Arabidopsis thaliana: one gene and its partner. The protein of the gene in region 1 interacts with the protein of each later gene in a pairwise test. Each region holds a gene or a part of one and is shown in the gene's direction. Other genes may lie near its edges. The genes, in order: SNRK2.1 and AT5G45360.

Evidence for each region.
Region 2: the proteins of SNRK2.1 (region 1) and AT5G45360 interact in a two-hybrid assay, tested with the Arabidopsis thaliana proteins (one study listed by BioGRID).

Annotation. Positions count from the first base shown.
Region 1 is NC_003076.8:2,781,298-2,786,854, forward strand, and holds SNRK2.1 (SNF1-related protein kinase 2.1), read left to right. Parts: upstream 1-1,870; 5' UTR 1,871-2,239; coding exon 2,240-2,359; exon of another isoform or gene 2,360-2,591; coding exon 2,592-2,666; intron 2,667-2,742; coding exon 2,743-2,844; intron 2,845-2,958; coding exon 2,959-3,012; intron 3,013-3,189; coding exon 3,190-3,282; intron 3,283-3,443; coding exon 3,444-3,536; intron 3,537-3,866; coding exon 3,867-3,971; intron 3,972-4,060; coding exon 4,061-4,159; intron 4,160-4,251; coding exon 4,252-4,572; 3' UTR 4,573-4,816; downstream 4,817-5,557. Other genes in the region: AT5G08580 (Calcium-binding EF hand family protein), read right to left, coding at 79-252, 342-407, 524-626, 884-1,086, 1,261-1,664; AT5G08600 (U3 ribonucleoprotein (Utp) family protein), read left to right, coding at 5,001-5,270, 5,363-5,513.
Region 2 is NC_003076.8:18,383,709-18,388,481, reverse strand, and holds AT5G45360 (F-box family protein), read left to right. Parts: upstream 1-1,610; 5' UTR 1,611-1,811; coding exon 1,812-1,874; intron 1,875-2,191; coding exon 2,192-2,395; intron 2,396-2,477; coding exon 2,478-2,551; intron 2,552-2,664; coding exon 2,665-2,740; intron 2,741-2,890; coding exon 2,891-3,001; intron 3,002-3,085; coding exon 3,086-3,260; intron 3,261-3,343; coding exon 3,344-3,520; intron 3,521-3,628; coding exon 3,629-3,699; 3' UTR 3,700-3,993; downstream 3,994-4,773. Other genes in the region: UMAMIT1 (nodulin MtN21 /EamA-like transporter family protein), read right to left, coding at 1-71.

The DNA of each region.
Region 1 (5,557 bases):
GATAAGTGGCAATTATGTTAAGGGATGTATGGTATTAATGGAAATGCTAATCATGGTGTGTACTCGTATATTACGAACCCGTCATCATTTTTGTCAAGCTGAGAAAACAACTGCTTTGCTGGGCCTTCAGGCAAGTCATGGTAAGGATGCGTAGAATTGTGATTGTCTTCTTCGTAGTTCCTTACAGTGTCAAAGAGGCCGTGGAAAAACTCTTCGAAACTGATCTTCCCATCTTTATCTGAATCCCTTTCTCTGGGAGAGGGAAGGAGGGGAATCCGTTGATAAACATTAAGCTAAAAGAAAGGTTCCTCGGAAATAATCATATGACAACCGTACATTACCTTACTTCCTCCTTGCATAACCATAACAGTAACTTTGGGTTCTTGGTGTCAGCAGGATGCAGAAAGCTAAGGGAATTAACCAGCAAAAACATTGTGAGAAATAGAAAGAAAAAATAACTGATAGTACTAAAAACCTGAAATAGCTCGGTTGATTTCTATCTACACTAGAAGAAAACGCTTACTCGTTAAACTCTGTTAAATTCAGAAGACCATCACCATTTGCATCTGATGCATTAAAATGCTCCTCCTTCCACCAGCCCATATCATAGCCAAACGAATTATTATCTGTTAAATTTATAACCAAGTCAGCTAGCAGTCCTAAGAGACAAAAGTGAGATCATTTGCTTAAAATCGCAATCAAACTGTGGTCCAGAATAAGGAAAGGATTATTATATAGGTCATAGGCAGAAGAGCTAGAAGTGAAACACAGATTAAAGCAAATCTACTTACAAGACTGTCATCAAATATTTCTACATGGTCATATTAAGTAGCAAACATTTTAGTCAATGAAACTCAAAGACGAACAGGAAACAGCAGCTCACCCGACTTACGGACCCAAGACGGTGGTTCATATTCAGAGAAAGAAATAAAACCATCTTTGTTTCTATCATGAACATCCAGGTCTCGTTGAGTTCTGTGCACAACTTCCTTGGCAGAAGACTGCATAGTCCACTCAGTCAATTCACTCTCCGTCATAAACCCATCAGCAGGAGAAACATCAATCTTCGGAAACAACAATATCAGCCTGCAAAGTACCATAGCAATCAAACTCATTCCTTACAAAAATGACATCTTTAGTAAATGCTAAACTAAAATCTTCAAAGATCCAAACTTTGAAGGAAATTGAAGTACACATTGTTGCAATTAGCGCTCAAAATCAAAGATTGGGAACTGAAGATATATATAAGTATAACCAAACCTATCAGTGACATTGAACTTCTCCTCATCATTTAAGTAATCCTCAGCATCCATGAATTCTTCCCACTCAGGCTGCGACTCGTGACCAGGTGCATGTTCATGTCCACCACCGGTTGTTTCTTTCTGAGAATGAGAGACAAGCTCCGGGTGAGAATGCTCAATGTACTGTCGCTCCCACTCCTTATCCTCGCGGCGGCGCTCCATGTCGGCGACAAGAGGATCAAACGGAACTGGATCGTGACGAGTGGGTTTGAAATTGAAAGAAGACCGGAGTTTTAAGCGGTGATGTTGATTGTGACCACCATGGTGGTGATCGTGGTCACCCTTCTTCTTCGGTGAATAAGAGACGAGGAAGAGCACCAGGATTCCTACCGTAATGTATAGGATCACCGAAGCTTTACTCATTGGGTATTTTTGTGTAACAGAAGTAGAAAATCTCAGCTTGAAACCCTAATTTTGTTGGCTGAAAGTTGAGGTTTTTACACTTGGGAAGTGAAGAAGATTAGATCTGTTGGAAAGATGGAGTCTTGCGAATATATATCTATAGAAGATTTTGACTCTAGATCTGTTACGACCAAATTAGTCAAATGGTTTGTAGTATTTAAGAGAGAGCCCACAACACACATCAATATTGTACATTTATTTCTCTAAACGCAATTTAAATGATTAAACGAATTTCTGCTAATTTTGTCATTTCGAGAAGAATTGAAACAACCGTTGGATTCACTTTCAATCAAAGCTTAATAATTGAAAAATCTAGCAGATTACACTCCACGTGGTCCAGTCCACCATCTTCTTCGTTTACTCCTTCCTACATCGATATTATACACACATGCGTGTGTATTGGATCTCACGATTTCTTATCAATGGAACTCGCTTCTCTTTCTCAGATCCCCATCCAAATCGTTTTATAGGTAGATTAGATAGATAAACTACGGATATACTCGAACTCTATCCATTTACGGTATTGATTTGGAAATATGGACAAGTATGACGTTGTCAAGGATCTGGGAGCTGGAAATTTCGGTGTGGCTCGCCTTCTCAGGCACAAGGACACCAAAGAGCTTGTTGCCATGAAATACATCGAGAGAGGTCGCAAGGTTTGTTTTTTTCCTTTTTGTTCTTACTATTTTTGGGTTCTTTCTGTTTTGAATTGGGGTTTAAAGTTTTTACTTTTAGCTCAGTGTGTATGTTCAAATTCATTATTTGAAGTCTCCTTGCTATACATTTGTAGGAAAATTTGAGAAATTTGGGGTTTTGATAACAACAGATCAAAATGATGATGATAATTTAGTTTTGGATTGTTTGGTATATATTGATCATGGATTGCAGATAGATGAGAACGTGGCGAGAGAGATTATTAATCACAGATCACTTAAACATCCTAATATCATCCGGTTCAAGGAGGCAAGTCTCTTTTTTGTGTGGCTCTTTATAGTTTATCTAAGAGCTGTCTTGGGATCTGATTTTGATTCGGTTCTAGGTGATCCTGACACCTACTCATCTTGCTATTGTGATGGAGTATGCTTCTGGAGGAGAGCTCTTTGATCGAATCTGTACTGCCGGTAGATTTAGTGAAGCTGAGGTTGCTTTCTCTTTGTAAAGTCATACACTTTGATCCATATATTTTCTTCAACATTTTCTGTGATCTTATTTATGTGTGTGTATAAGTTTTTGCTTTTGATCTTATTCATTTCAGGCTAGGTACTTCTTTCAACAGCTGATTTGTGGTGTTGATTACTGCCATTCCTTGGTATGTATATAGTAGTTCTTAGAATATACATTAAGCTGAAAAGGAAAGTTATGTGCTGCCTAATGAGGCATTCGTGGAGTACTATTGATGTTTTTGTTCCCAGAGTCTTTGTTTGAGATTTGGAATTTAATGCCTCTGTCCTTGTGTAACCTTCCCCTCTCTTTTGCTTCTGTGCAGCAAATATGTCATAGAGACCTGAAGCTTGAGAACACACTGCTCGATGGGAGCCCTGCTCCGCTTTTGAAAATCTGTGATTTTGGTTACTCTAAGGTCTGCACTTATCCATTTCCCTTTTCTTTTCTTTGCTCAGTTTTTCTCAATCTTCAATCCAAAACAGATTAGCATGTTCTTTAATCAAAAGTATTATCTATTCACTCCTCTCTTGATTCTTATATCTTTGTCATGTTTTCAATTTGATTTCTATGGTGTAGTCATCTATACTACATTCTAGGCCTAAATCAACTGTTGGAACTCCAGCTTACATAGCACCTGAAGTTCTTTCACGGAGAGAATATGATGGCAAGGTACAGTATTTTTGTCTTGTTATACATACATATCAGTTTGTCATTAACGCTTGATTGGTTGTCAAAGTAAGCAAATAATGTCATCAAGGGAAAATATGAGGATAGAAAGTTATAGACTGCTCAAAGATCCAGGCTATAGAGTCCTTCTAGTATATCTTTTTTAGTGGCATGGTCTGTGTGAAACTTTTCAGGTTATTGTACTTCTAATAAGATTTAAGTGGGGTCTTAATTAAAAAATTTGACGGGGTGCTAATCGATATTTTTTCCATGATTGTCATAAGAGCACATACACTGGTTTTGGCTCTCATATATATGACTGCGTTTTTGTAGCACGCGGATGTGTGGTCATGTGGAGTAACCCTTTATGTGATGCTGGTGGGAGCTTACCCGTTTGAGGACCCTAATGATCCAAAAAACTTCAGGAAAACAATCCAGGTAACTCCACCATTCAACAATTCTGATTTACTTCTCATCTTATTTATCAAGTGTCTCAATGATATCACAATTCAAATGGTATTCTGCAGCGCATAATGGCTGTACAATACAAGATCCCGGACTATGTTCACATATCTCAGGAATGCAAACATCTTCTCTCTCGCATATTCGTCACTAACTCTGCTAAGGTAACTTAACAATTCCGGTTTCAAATTTCTAGCTATATCTTGTGAGGAAGATATCTTGCAGTTCTGATTGTTGCCGGTAACACTCTTGCCAGAGAATCACACTTAAGGAGATCAAGAATCATCCGTGGTACTTGAAGAATTTGCCAAAGGAGCTGCTAGAGTCGGCTCAAGCGGCGTATTACAAGAGAGACACAAGCTTCTCTCTTCAAAGCGTAGAGGACATAATGAAGATAGTTGGAGAAGCAAGGAATCCAGCTCCATCAACTAGTGCTGTCAAAAGCTCGGGCTCAGGAGCTGATGAAGAAGAGGAAGAGGACGTTGAAGCTGAAGTGGAAGAGGAAGAAGATGATGAAGACGAATACGAGAAGCATGTCAAAGAGGCACAGTCTTGTCAAGAGTCTGACAAAGCTTAAAAAGAAAAATGCTCTCTGTTTCTCTTACTTTATTTCTTCTTCAAGAACACTCCTTGGTGAGTTGGTGACTTGCTTCTGGTAAAAAGAAAAACACATTTGTCAAAGCCAAAGGCTGTAAACTACGTGCTGGTTGTTTCACTTTTAGATTGATGTCGTTGTACTGAGTAATGAGCATGAAACAGAAGGTTTATATTATTATATGATACTATACTATAGGTTTTCGTCTTTGTGATGATGATTTCAGTTCACCTATAAAATCCGAATAAACCGAATCTGAACAAGATTTATAAACCGAAAATCTGAAAAACCGAAAAGAACGAACCGGATACTAACCGAAACCGGGATTTGAACACTTAAGGTTAAGGGTCGAGAAACCCTACGAAAGTGTATCTCTCTCAATCTCGACAGGTTTCAAAACAGAGACAGTCATGGGAGGAGGAGAGAAGAGGAAATCTAGTTTCAAAAACCTAGCTAATGCAAAGAAGAGGAGAACAGGACCTCACTTACCTAGCTCAATACTCAAGACCATTGCGAATGAGAAACGTCCTTTGAACTCTGACGAAGGAGACGATGAGATTGATTCTGCTTACGGTGATTTTTACGAGTACGAAGAAGGTGTGCCTGAAGAGGAATCTAGGAAAAACAACCGCTACGAACGCGTCGTTAACTACGAATTCGAGCTTGCAGAGGATTGCGAGGTTTTTCCAAGTCTTACTATTGCAAATTCTTTTTCTTTTAAGTTGCTGTTAATCGACAAGTAAAGTTGTTTGGGTAACACGTAATAATCTAGGTTAAAACTTGTTTTAAATTGTCTCTTTTTCAACCAAAGGATGAAAACGTGGAGTCAGAAGATGATGATGATGATGATGATGATGATGATGATGATAGGCACTCACGAATGTTGAAAAATGTCACTGAATTGCCAATTTCAGCCTTTCAAGGTATTGAGACAAGTAAAATTTGAGACAGAGTTTTGCTTTTTTTA
Region 2 (4,773 bases), about 16 Mb from region 1:
ATTGCAGAGTGAGCCATTCGTGTTTCTCTCTCCGTCGCATCGCCGCCGTTTAGGATCGCCGGAGCTGCCATTTTTCTTCTCTACCTCCGAATCGAGGAAGAAGAGAAGGAACACCTGTTGACTAAAGAAATTGAGATCCTTTGATTTGCTCTGTAAATTGTAATTCTAACTTCTCTGTTTTTTCGTTCCAAAAAAAAAAAAAACTTCTCTGGTCATTGTAGTCGTTGGTCTTCTTCAATTTGTTAACTATGATTTTTTGTTAAGTTGAGGCAAAAAAAAATTTGCCAGATTATTTTCTTAAATCTTATACACATTGAAGCCTAACAGATTAACACATTTGTTAAATATGCTCATATATCCTACTTAAAAAATATGAAAATTTTCCACAAAAAATGGTGTAATATAAAAATTCGGTTTACTCGGGTTAAACGGTTCGGTTTGTTCGGTTTTCCGGGTTTTTCGGTTTTCAAAAATTCTGCCGAATTGAACCGAACAAAAATTCGGTTCGGTTCGGTTCGGTACTCGGTTTTTTCGGTTCGGTTACTAGGATTTATAATTCGCCGAAATTAAACCGAATTTTTTTTAATCGGTTAACCTAATCAGTTTAGATCACAATATTAGGCATAGTGGGCTGTTTTTAAAGCCCATATCGGCTTTTGACATTTAAAAACCCAAAACTTTTTTTTTGAGGGACAAGTAAAGTCAAAAAGCCCATGACGGTTTTTAACTTTTCAAAACCCAAATTCTTTTTTTCCAGGGACAAGAAAAGCCCATCACACCCATCTAGGGTTTTGTTTTGTTTTATTTTTTGGAAATGACGGCCGTCAAAGAAAAACAAGGGTGAGATGAAGAAGAAGAACATTGAAAACAGAGAAAATAGATTTGTATTGTGCGGTGGTGAGAAAAGATGTAGAGAACCATGAAATCATTGCCAGAGAAGATCGATGTCGCGGTGGCTTAATAGAATATTTCTGCGAACCTAAAAGGTGGAGAAGAAGAACGAAGACAAGGAGAAGAAGGAGGAATAAGGAAGAATTAGAAGGTTAAAAGATAAAAATGGGTTAGAGATGAGGAGAAATAAAGGTGTTCGTGAAGAGGAGAGTTTAGAAAACAAAGAAGATGAAGTGATAGATCTAGGATTTTTCTGTTTTAAAAGGTATCTCCCCAATCCGAACAAAACCGATCGGTTTTGATGAACCGAACCGAAAAACCCGAAAACCGAAATCAATTTAAAATTCTACCGAACGATTTACAACAGAAAATCGGTTTGAAACCGAAAACCGAAATCGTCGGTTTGTTCGGTTCGGTTTAAACGGGTTATGCCGAACTTCCAGGCCTAATTTTTACAGTGTAATACTGAAGTTGGTAAAATATGCCTTTATTTATGTCGATTAGTGGATCTAGTAATATAACATTTCCTTAAATGAAAAAACTCCTTAAAAAGTAGTTGCTGATCCAATAACAAATGTTCTGTTTTAAGAAAATTTAATTATAGTAGTAGTTCGAACGTCGTTAACTCGTAATAATAATTCAGAAAAATGTTGTTATTTAATCACGTTTAGAAAGCTAATTTGTATTAATGACGCTAACGACAAGGAGGAGGGTTAGTGTTATGGGCTTATTTATTAATATATGGCCCATTTAGGTTATTAGCCCATTTATCAAAATTATTCGGCCCGAGGTCGTCTCCAATCTCACGCCACCGATTCCAAACGCCAACCCTCTCGAGTCTTGTCTCTCTCCAATCCTTTCCTTGGCCGCATAAACGCAACCATCGTCGTCGGAGCTTTGATCTTCACCGACTGAAAAGTATGTCTGTTTCCGATGAGGAAGATGAGTGTTTCGCTCGATTCCTCGAATCAGAAGTCTCATCGGTATAAAAATTTCTCCGTTTATTCAAATTTTCGATTTCATTTAGGGTTTAGTAATTTCTTCTCCATCAATCTTTGAATTTTGTAGCTGAATCTGAAATTCTGTCGAGATTTTCCCGTTCCCCTAGTTTTTTTTTTCATTTTTGATAACTTCAGTTCCTTGATCTGTAAATTTGATCTTATATGCATACATTTGAAATTTTTGAAAAATCACATAATTTTTGTTCATGTTCTTCGATTGATGTCCATTGTGATTTTGCTCTTGTTCAGCGTTGTCCTGTGAAAGGTTAGATTATTTATTGATGCTTTGGTTTTTGTAGGTAGAGGATAAAGAAGAAACGAAAGAACCTGAGGCAAAACGGCAACGTATTGAGAAAGGCGAAACAAAGGCTCTAGAGAAGGATGAAGATCAAAAGGAAAATGGTAACAAAGATAAAACTGATGCAAAGAGAATAGAGAGTGGAGTTTTCACCAATGTTCCTACTGAGCTGTTTCGTCATATTCTCAAGTTCTTATCTTCGGAGGTATATACTATATAGTTCAAACTCGAACTTTATTGATGTTTGAGGATTGCTTTTAAACTAAATTGTTTGAATGTCATTACAGGATCTTGTATCATGCTCCTTGGTTTGTAAATTTCTCAATTTTGCTGCGGCTGATGAATCCTTATGGCGTCGCCTGTAAGCCTCTTCTTGTACCCCTTATTGTCGTTGATAATCTTGTTTTCAAAATCAATACTTTGTATTCAAAAACGATGTGATGATCTTATTGGTTGTTTTTTGTTTATATGCAGGTACTGTATCCGGTGGGGTCTAACTCTTCCAAGTAGAAAGTTACGTGAATCTGCTTGGAAGAAGCTTTATATTGATGTGAGTTTCTCCTTGGTTTTTCGTATAAACTTGTTAGATGTTTCCAAGTAGTATTACATTGCTGAAGAATATACAGTGTTAGTTTGCGTTGCTAGTAGAAGTCAGATCATATATATTTTTAAGTGATTCCTTTCTCTTGTCGAATTTTAGCGTGATGAACAGGACATGATTGAACTTGTCAGAACCTGTCCGTCGGATTTCAAGGAGTATTACGTACATATGCAAGCAGCAAAGAGAAGCCAAGCACCTCTTCCGTCCCAGGTAACTATTTATAATTATCTGTTTATGTTTTAGGACAAATCATCACGTGAAGAATTTTCTCATGTTCTTGTTTGCAATTTTTAGATGGTGGATGACCGGATAATTCTTGACAATACTGTACTTGAACAAGTTTCTCTATGGAAGAAAAGCAAAGGACTTACTGATAAGGCTGTCACTGGCCATATTTGTTTGGGAACCAAATGTTCATACCATCAGATTGACGACGTGTTCATATGCAAAGAGACGGGAAATGTTCATGGTATGTAATGAAATGCTGTAAAATGTAACTTTGTTACTGTGTTTTACTCTAAACTTACATAGTTTTTATGGTCTTTATAACAGTATGCGATGATAACTGCAAGGAAGTAATACTGAGTCCAGAGGGTGACCTCATGGTGTGTACTATCTCAGGAGTTTGTTCTGATACTTTACTTGTACAAACTGAGCCAGACGCAGATGGGTGTTATGAGGAAGAAGCTGAACTAGAAGCTGAAGTATTCACAGATAAAAGCCGATTAGGTACACATCTATCTATCTCTTTCTCATATCTCTCACACACTTCCTTTTCCAAATATTATTTTTATTTTCCAACATAAGTGAACTATTTGCGTCTTCTTTTCATCGCAGCCCGAGCTTTTGAACTTGGCTACAACTGCGATGATGAGCAGGAACTGGAACGTACCCTGAGGTTCTGCTGAGCAAAAGTCTCGACCTTTTGTCCAATTTCATAAGGCCTACTTTCTGTAAGGTCTTCTCTCTCTCTCTCTCTCTGACCTGATTCTGCCTGGGTTCTGTGGAGTTGAAATGAATCAAATGTAGCTCTTGTTTTAATCAGTCAGCTTTGTAACGTATACATATATATCATTGTATGTGATTAACATTGTCCTTAAAAAGTGTTACACCTAGTAATTACGTTCCAACTTTATCAGTAAACCTATTGGTAACTAGTAATTTGCTCCCGATATTGGTTTTCTCATTAATTTTTATAGCCATTCTTTGTTCATTTAAACCATATTACAAATTTGTCCTGGTTAGAACTGATTATGATGACAAATCGATGATTAGTTCAAAATGAAGTTTATAGCAATATATTCTAATAACTATACATCAATTATCACCACTGATGTGTTTGAATGAAAAATGAATTGATAATCTTAATAAATGTTTGATTTTATAGATAAGTATAAAGTATGAATGGATTTAGAAAATTTTAGTATTTAGTGAGATAAGCATAAGCAAAACTAGAAAAATGAAATTATTATTAAATAAATTCATTAATACACATTGGCAATGTGACATTGCCTAAAATCAAATATGTACTAATTCAATTAATGTTAATAAGAATTTTTTGGATTCGATTCTCTTGCGAAAGTGCAAATTAAAAGACATTCTTATCTCCTACGTAAACAGAATCACGCGTCCATTGCGCGTTCTCGCAACGCTAAAATATTTACGTTGGAAAATATTCTCATAATTCTCTCCTTTGCCCCCACAGTTTAATATATTTCATAAACACCCCCACGAGAAATTAAAAACCGTTCCAAATTTGAAAAAATACAACAAACAATTCATGAAAATATTCAATCTATAAGCAAAACATTGGTAGTGTTACATGTGTCGTCCTTCGTGCTGAAAATTTGGATAGCATTGTTAATTATGACAACGTAAGTGTAGCCTGTGATTCATAGTAAAATATAAGGACTAAAAATAAAAATATATCTTTTTTGGAAATCGTACCGCGTAAGAAACATGTATAAATACCTATAAGGTCT